Drosophila melanogaster: one gene and its partner. The protein of the gene in region 1 purifies or fractionates together with the protein of each later gene. This does not show direct contact. Each region holds a gene or a part of one and is shown on either strand. Other genes may lie near its edges. The genes, in order: LS2 and U2af38.

Region 1 (3,827 bases):
CAGAATGACAAAATCAGAAATCTTTAAGCCTTCAAAATTTTATCCAATTTAGATAAAGCTGCATAATATTATTAACTATAAAAGAAATTAAATTTAAGTAGCGGCTGTTATTATTATTAGTTATAAATAATGATATACACATATAATAGTAACACTTTTATTGAACTGATATTCCCACGCAACGCAACCAAAAATTCTCTTTTGCCCAGAACGACTTTAAAATTGGTGTGGGTTTGGTTTTGGCCTCTTGACTGATTTCCATTTGGCCAAAACTCAGACGTGGCACAATATGTTATGAATTTTTATTCAGTTGTTTGTGTGCCAAGGAAAAAATTAATTTATGGCCTTCGTCGTTATTGTTCAAATAAAAGGCCCAAATCTAAATGGGTGATCGAAAAAACGGAGAGAGAGAGGGAATGTGAAGTCGGGGCGTTCGTCATCCTCATCCGGGCTCCATGTCGCCATATCATCGATGGACATCAATGTGGGGATATGTCAGAAAATCGGCGGGCGGGGAGACGTTGCCTGAATTTAAATGGACAAATTAATTGCGTTTGTCAGGCTTGTGGACAGGTTCTGGTTCCATTGGAACCTCGGCAGCAGCAACAAACCCAAGCGGCTGGACAAAGAATTAATTGGTTTTTGGACACTGGATGAAATATATTTAATTTAGGCTTAATGCCGGACAGAGATTGCATTTTAGTATGCACCCGCGCCGCCATCTCAAATTCCTCACAAGTGTCAAATTGGCCTTGAATCATGACTGGGATTGTATCTGTATCTCTATCTCTGTATCTTTATCTGTGCGCGATCGCCGGGCCATCAAATAGCCATTAAACAGTAGACCATTATCCTAGCTGATGGGGAATGATACCTGAGAGCCTCCACAAAGGAGGTGCGGTGTAGTCGATGATCGAGGATCGGGACATAAATTATCACTTGGTTTCTGGGTTCGATAAAGTTCTTTATAGGGGGTTATGTGTGGAATGGTGACGTGTAGAAGGGAATGCACTGAGGGAAAAGTCAAGCATTTTATTCAAATTGATTTCTTACCTTGTTCAAACACTCCGTTCTGTGCATCGTTATGCAAGCAGGATATTTACGGTGAATAGAATAGTATTCCCCTAAAGTTTGAAATCCCTCTTTTGTCCGATTTGAGTTGACAGTTTTATTGTGTCGCCTTTCTGAATTAATTGAGCCGCCCCTCAGTTCCAAATGAAGTCGTTGTCGCGTTTCCGAGGAATGTGGCGAGGATGGTATCCCCGACTCATCCCCTGCGGGAAGCTGGGCTCGGAGGACCACACATCGCGATGGAGACACACGCAGCTCCGAAAACGAACCCAAAAAGCATGGCCTGAACAAATTGCTTCTTCTCTATTTATACGGCCTGCGGGCGAGCCGTTGCCAATTAATTATAATTGATTGGCGATATTAACGAAAATTATGATGATTATGATTATTCGCTGGAAATGCACCCGCAGATACGTATGTAGATACGTTTTTCTGTCGAAAGATATAACGAGGCACAATGAAAGCTGAAAACTATCCGGATGATGTATGATAAACGACTTAATTGTTTTTTTTTTTTTTTTTGATTCAAGCTCCCCGCCATTGGCATCGAATACATTAAATGATAGATGTGAATGCTGAATGAACAAATTTGCCGGATTGCAGAGAATTTTTTAATTTGCTAGACTTAGACAAGAAATTAAATTTACGTTACATTATGTCGATTAAGTGCGGTCACATTGCTCGTTATCGATGATTCCTTCAGTTGTCACACTGAACTTTTTAATCAGAGTAGCTTTTATTGTGATTTCATTTTAGTTCACCAACAAGGCCTGGTGTTCGGTGATTTTAGCTGAAAAGTATGAGACGTTTTCGGCCCATGAATCGTTCTTGGAATGCTCTGCGTTCGCGTTCACGTTCACGTTCACGTTCGCGTTCGCCTTTCCGTTCGCAATCCATTACTCGATCCCGGCCCACCCGTTCGGATACCATTTACACAGAGAGGACGCGATTGCAGCGACGTTTCAGTCGGCCTCCCTCCTCCTGGGACATTCCACCAGAGGGTTATAACCACCTGACTCCGCAACAGTACAAGGCCATGCTGGCCAGCGGCCAGATTGCCTCGAGGATTCTTTCCGATGGCGTACACGGGGGCGAGTCCGCCGCGATTTCGATGATCACTCGACAAGCTCGCCGCCTGTATGTGGGTAATATTCCATTCGGAGTTACGGATGAGGAGATGATGCAGTTCTTCAATCATCAGATCATGGCTCTGGGATTTGAAGCAAAAAGCTCGCACTACATGGATGGCAATGCTGTGCTGACCTGCCAAACGAATCTGGAGAAGAACTTTGCCTTTCTGGAATTCCGATCCATTGACGAGGCCAGCCAGGCCTTGAATTTCGATGGGATGGTCTTCCGTGGACAAACCTTGAAGATAAGACGGCCACACGACTATCAGCCAGTGCCCTCGATTTCAGTCTCTGCAATGGAGAGCTACAGGTCATTCAGGGTCCCTGCCATCAATGTAGCCCAACAACCGGCTGTTACCCTTCCTGTGACCACTATTGTCCCCGATTCCCCCAATAAGATCTACGTAGGTGGCTTGCCCACCTGCCTGAATCAGGATCAGGTCAAGGAACTGCTGCAGTCGTTTGGAGAACTGAAAGGACTGAATCTGGTGATGGATACCAACACGAACCTGAACAAGGGTTTCGCCTTCTTTGAGTACTGCGATCCCTCGGTTACCGATCACGCCATAGCTGGATTGCACGGCATGCTGCTGGGGGATCGCAGGCTGGTGGTCCAGAGATCTATTCCAGGCGGAAAGAACGCATTCCCCGGCCACTTACCAACCGTTCTTCAGGTACCGGGCATATCCACACTACAAGATCCTGGCTCACCTACCGAAACTCTCTGCCTGCTGAACATGGTGCGGCCGGAGGAGCTGCTGGACGACGAGGAGTTCGAGGACATTCGCACGGACATCAAGCAGGAGTGCGCCAAGTTCGGCGAGGTTCGCAGCATCAAGATTCCGCGTCCCATCGGTCAATTTCCGAAGCGGGGCTGTGGCAAGGTCTTCGTCCAGTTCGAATCCGTGGAGGATTCGCAGAAGGCCCTTAAGGCGTTGAGTGGTCGCAAGTTCAGCGGGCGCATAGTGATGACCTCGTATTACGATCCCGAAAAGTACCTGGCGGATGATCTACAATAAAGTCGAAATAATAAACCATATTAACTGAAATTTCAATATGCTCAACCATCTAGGAACATCTACACTTAATAGTCAGTCCATCATGACACCTGATGATGACTCGGTGAGCTGATGTGGCCAAGGCCACGAGCGATAAGGAAGTTAATATCCAGTTCTCCACTCTCGTTGTTGTGATATCAACTGCTTAACGCTTTAAGTTATCTGGGATCGAAATGTGAGGACACGCCTCCTCGCCCCCCAAATACGATGGCAGAAATTCAATTAGGCAGACCGACTTAAGCTGCAATCCTTAAAGCTGCTCGAAAGCCGACAGCTCCTGCAGCAGCTTCTCCGCTCACCTTTTATTTCCAGTTCCTCTGGAAGAGTCAGGCCAAAGCTCTTGCTTAATTAAAATTTTAAACTTTACGCTTTATCGTCGACATTTCTCGGCATATTCACACCTACCGACCGCTTATTACGAAGCCCAGGTAATGCCTTAATGCCTTTTCAATGGAGAAGCTTCTTCGGCGGCTTATCTCGCCGACGAACGGTTGCATTTTCTCAGGTATCACGTTTCGTGGGTCTTGGGGCATCATCCGTTCAGCCTGGGGTTGGGGTCTTTTCTTAT
Region 2 (4,360 bases), on another chromosome or scaffold:
AAAAGTATAAAAAACCTAAATAAAAAGTCATTGATAAAGGCTAGAAGTTCTGTAGTACATATGTATGTAGATACTAGATACGGAAATCGCTATTATATACATCACTTCGAAATTGTATTTTCGTCTAAAGCTTCAAGTTTTCAATAGTCTGAGATTTTCTAACTGCAATTGGCTTTAGGACCCCCAAAAGTGTTGCGCTGATTTGAAGGGAATTAATTTGATTTTCCCGCGCACTAACTCTGGATAGGGAAAACTTTGCTTCCGTAAACTGGCCACTCTCTTGTCAGCTGTGTGGTGCTGTTGTTTTTCTTTCAAATTTAAAGTCATGTCGTAACCCGAACCGACTTCAAAACAACACAACCCGACAGCCAAATTCCTAGTGCAGGCATTTTAGGCGGAAATCTCCAGCGGCAGACCGGTGCCCAGTCATGTCGACCGCTTCGCGAGTGACTTTGGGACTGGCGGTCTCCATTTCCACAGCGATCATAGGTTATGTGCACTATAAACAATCGGCAGACCGGTAAGTAAGCCAAATACTCCGGAATAAAGTTATAGCCTCCGATCTCTAACTTCCAGCCTGAGACTGCACGATGGTGTCCTGAGGGACGTTGAGCAGCAACAACGGCGCAAACACGAGAATACCTACACGCTGCAGCAGCAAATAGACATGACCAAGCAACTGAAAGCCAGGGAGGCGTCTAGCAACTCCTCTGACACGCCCGTACCTCCATCGACGCATCGCGCACAGAGTAATCTTCAAGCGGAGAAGCCAGCAGTGCAAAATGAAGGCGAGGCTTTCAGAGGTGTTCCTCAGGGTGGAACGACTAATCACGATGGAAGCCCGCCAACTGACATAGCTTGATCACAAATATGCCCCTAAATATGCACCTATTAAAATCTAAGACTAAGTCGGGGAAAACAAGAATTTCGTTGTTCAAATGTACGCATTTTTGAAGATTTTAAGATTTCGTCTTAAGACAGTTGACAGCATCATTTACGCTGTTGATCGTTTTCAGTTGGTGAAGCCATCTGCGCATGGAAATATAATTAAAACAACGTGGTAAGATTCAATCTTACAAAGCGAAATAAGACTGCAGGCCTAACAAGGGGTGGTGTCTTCTGGATGTTATCCATACCTGTGAGGAGTCTTTTATTTTGAGTGCCTGGACTTTTTGACAATTAGACCCATTTCTTACTATGGCTTCCAGTATAATATTACTCAATTTTATTATTATGAATGTATGTATAGTAAATTACAATTCTAATGGGCGCTCGGTAAAATATTTCGCGGGGGGTTTGTACATAGGTGGTGGAACTCCCCATCGTCATTTTCCTCCTCCTCCTTCCATCTCGTTTACTCAAAAGTGATATAAAAACGTGGAAAACCAACGCAGAGACTAAAATACACGATGCTTTGCGTTACTGCTTGTCCGTTGCTTTCTCTCTCAATTGCCACCGTACAGAAAAAATGTCCAGAATATTTAATACCGTCCACCACCACCACCGCCTCCTCCGCCACCACCTTTGCGGCGATCGCGATCGTTTCCGCGATCATTGCCACGCATGTTGTCCCGCTCGTTGTTCAAGTAGTTTCCTCCGCCGACACCGTCGCCTCTGCCGCCTCCTCTTCGACCCGGGGATCGGGACCTGCTGCGGGAGCCGCGACGGCGTCCAGGGGATCGGGAACGGGAGCGGGCACGACGGCGGCGGGAGTAGAGGTACCTTCGCAGCTCACGCGAGATGGGCTTCAAGTGCATGAAGTTGCAGAAGCCGGAGCGGGTACATTCGCCCATCTCGTACTGCCGACAGCAAGCCTCGCGGAAGTCGGTCACCGGCGATAGTTCCGAGTACACCGGTCGACCACCGAACCACCGGTTGTTCAAATCGTTTGCCGCCTTTTCCGCATCAGCCTCGTTACGGAATTTGATGTACACATTGCCGACCAGATGGTCGCCTAGGTTGTCGCACACGTTCATCTCCTCGATTTCCCCGTACTTGTCCTCGCACTCTACGAACACGTCCTCGAAAAAATTGTCGTAGTGTTCTTGCATCTCCTCGTCGGAGACGTTGGCCACCAGATGGGAGCCATCCGCGGATTTGGCGGAGTTTTGGGGGTTCACGTATAGATTTTGGAGAAGCACCGTCTGCGAGAAAGTGGGTTTGTTGTGGATGCGAGAGCACCGGTCGCCGTGGCGGCAGGCGCCGATCTTGAAGTAGAACGAACAGTTCACCCTGGGAAATGCAACGCCATTTAGTTATTAATCCCGGCAACGTTAAAATAAATGTGCCATGCGACTTACTTGTCCTTTTCCGTGCCAAAAATGGATGCCAAGTACTCGGCCATGCTGGCGGCTTTACTGTGGTGTTGCTGTGGCCAAAATGTGTAACTTATCTACCCGCTTGTCTCTGCAACGCGGTCAAACTGCAATTATGTTAGCCGCCTGTTTATTTAGTGATAATTTTCAATTATTTTCGGAAACCGAAAAAAGCAGCGTCTGGTCGTATTTTGCACGGCGTTGCCAGCCTCGAATCTAGAGTTGCAAATAAAATCGATGATTAGTTATCGATATTTAGTGTTTTTGGCAGCATCGTTTTTCGATACCTCTGTTCTTAATTTAAATGTTTTAAAATATGCTAACATTTTAAATATTAATTTCAAATATTTAAATATTAATGCACTTAAAAGCCTGAGGACTTATTTTTCATTTGACTAGAAAAATTTTACAATTCAAAATAAGAAATTGAGAAAATTATTTACGCAAATAATAATATAATATAAACATAAATAAACAATACAATAAAATAACATTTAAATTCTATAAAGCTCAAGGTATTATTTATATTTGATCAACAATTTTTTTAATTTATATAAGCAATGGAAAAAATTATTTAAGAAGGCTTGCTGGTTTTGTTCCCCGCTTGAGAACGAGCTAAGTTCTAAACCGCAGTCTGGAAAAAGATTAAATTCAGTCGCAGAAGCATTGACAACCCTATCGATTGCTTCTAGAAAAGTCGGCATTTTTCGCATTTTCACCTGGCACGGCACATTTCGCAGCGTGTTTTATTAAAAAGTCGTACAAAAATACAGGAAAAACTGTAATTCGACAGCGCTATCCTCTCCCTTATCAGAAATGGACAAGGTAAGTGCCCGAGACAAAGGAAAGGCGTTGGCATTTCCAATCAAAAACCCTTGCGGTTTTCGCAGGTGAACGAACTCAAGGAAAAGGGTAACCAGGCGCTCAGTGCCGAGAAGTTCGACGAGGCGGTGGCGGCGTACACAGAGGCCATCGCTCTGGACGACCAGAACCATGTGCTCTACAGCAACCGTTCGGCGGCATTCGCCAAGGCTGGAAAGTTCCAGGAGGCGCTAGAAGATGCGGAGAAGACCATTCAGCTTAATCCCACCTGGCCTAAGGGTTACTCACGCAAAGGAGCTGCCGCTGCGGGTCTGAATGACTTTATGAAGGCCTTCGAAGCGTACAACGAGGGTAAGTTCAAACACAGCTCAGTTATATGCCATGAATCACCCGACCTAACCTCACTAACCTCGGTTACCGGCGCAGGTCTCAAGTACGATCCCACGAATGCTATACTCCTGCAAGGCCGCATGGAAACTACTGCCTCGGCTCTGAGCTTTATGCAATCGCAGGGGGATATACCCATGGACGTTGATCCCCAGCAGGCACGCAGCCGCAGGGCTCCATCGCCACCGCCGGCGAAACCGGCTGAGCCCCCAAAGCCCGCTGAACCTCGGGTAGAGGACATGACTGAGGAGCAGAAGAATAAGTACTTCGCGAGGAAGGAGAAGGAACTGGGCAACGCCGCCTACAAGAAAAAGGACTTTGAAACGGCCCTAAAACACTACCACGCTGCCATTGAACACGATCCCACGGATATCACGTTCTATAACAACATAGCTGCTGTTCACTTTGAGCGCAAGGAGTACGAGGAGTGCATCAAGCAGTGCGAGAAGGGCATTGAGGTGGGGCGCGAAAGCCGCGCCGACTTTAAGCTGATAGCTAAGTCCTTTGCTCGCATCGGTAACACCTATCGTAAGCTAGAGAACTACAAGCAGGCGAAGGTTTACTATGAGAAGGCCATGTCCGAGCATCGCACCCCTGAGATCAAGACCTCGCTGAGCGAGGTGGAAGCCAAAATCAAGGAGGAGGAGCGAATGGCCTACATCAATCCGGAGAAGGCCGAGGAAGAGAAGGAGCAGGGCAACCTTTTCTTTAAGAAGGGGGACTACAGCACCGCTGTAAAGCACTACACCGAGGCCATCAAGCGCAATCCGGATGATCCCAAACTCTATAGTAACCGCGCCGCCTGCTACACCAAGCTGGCCGCCTTTGATCTGGGC

What was found.
Region 2: the proteins of LS2 (region 1) and U2af38 purify together in Drosophila melanogaster (affinity purification with western blotting, with the first as the bait; one study listed by BioGRID). This does not show direct contact.

The regions. Positions count from the first base shown.
Region 1 is NT_033778.4:23,209,542-23,213,368, reverse strand, and holds LS2 (large subunit 2), read left to right. Parts: upstream 1-1,829; 5' UTR 1,830-1,870; coding exon 1,871-3,220; 3' UTR 3,221-3,239; downstream 3,240-3,827.
Region 2 is NT_033779.5:292,141-296,500, forward strand, and holds U2af38 (U2 small nuclear riboprotein auxiliary factor 38), read right to left. Parts: upstream 2,542-4,360; 5' UTR 2,345-2,541; coding exon 2,301-2,344; intron 2,233-2,300; coding exon 1,482-2,232; 3' UTR 863-1,481; downstream 1-862. Other genes in the region: CG11562 (uncharacterized protein), read left to right, coding at 429-520, 577-862; Stip1 (stress induced phosphoprotein 1), read left to right, coding at 3,132-3,140, 3,206-3,488, 3,564-4,360. UniProt on the Drosophila melanogaster protein: Necessary for the splicing of pre-mRNA. Binds to the polypyrimidine tract of introns early during spliceosome assembly.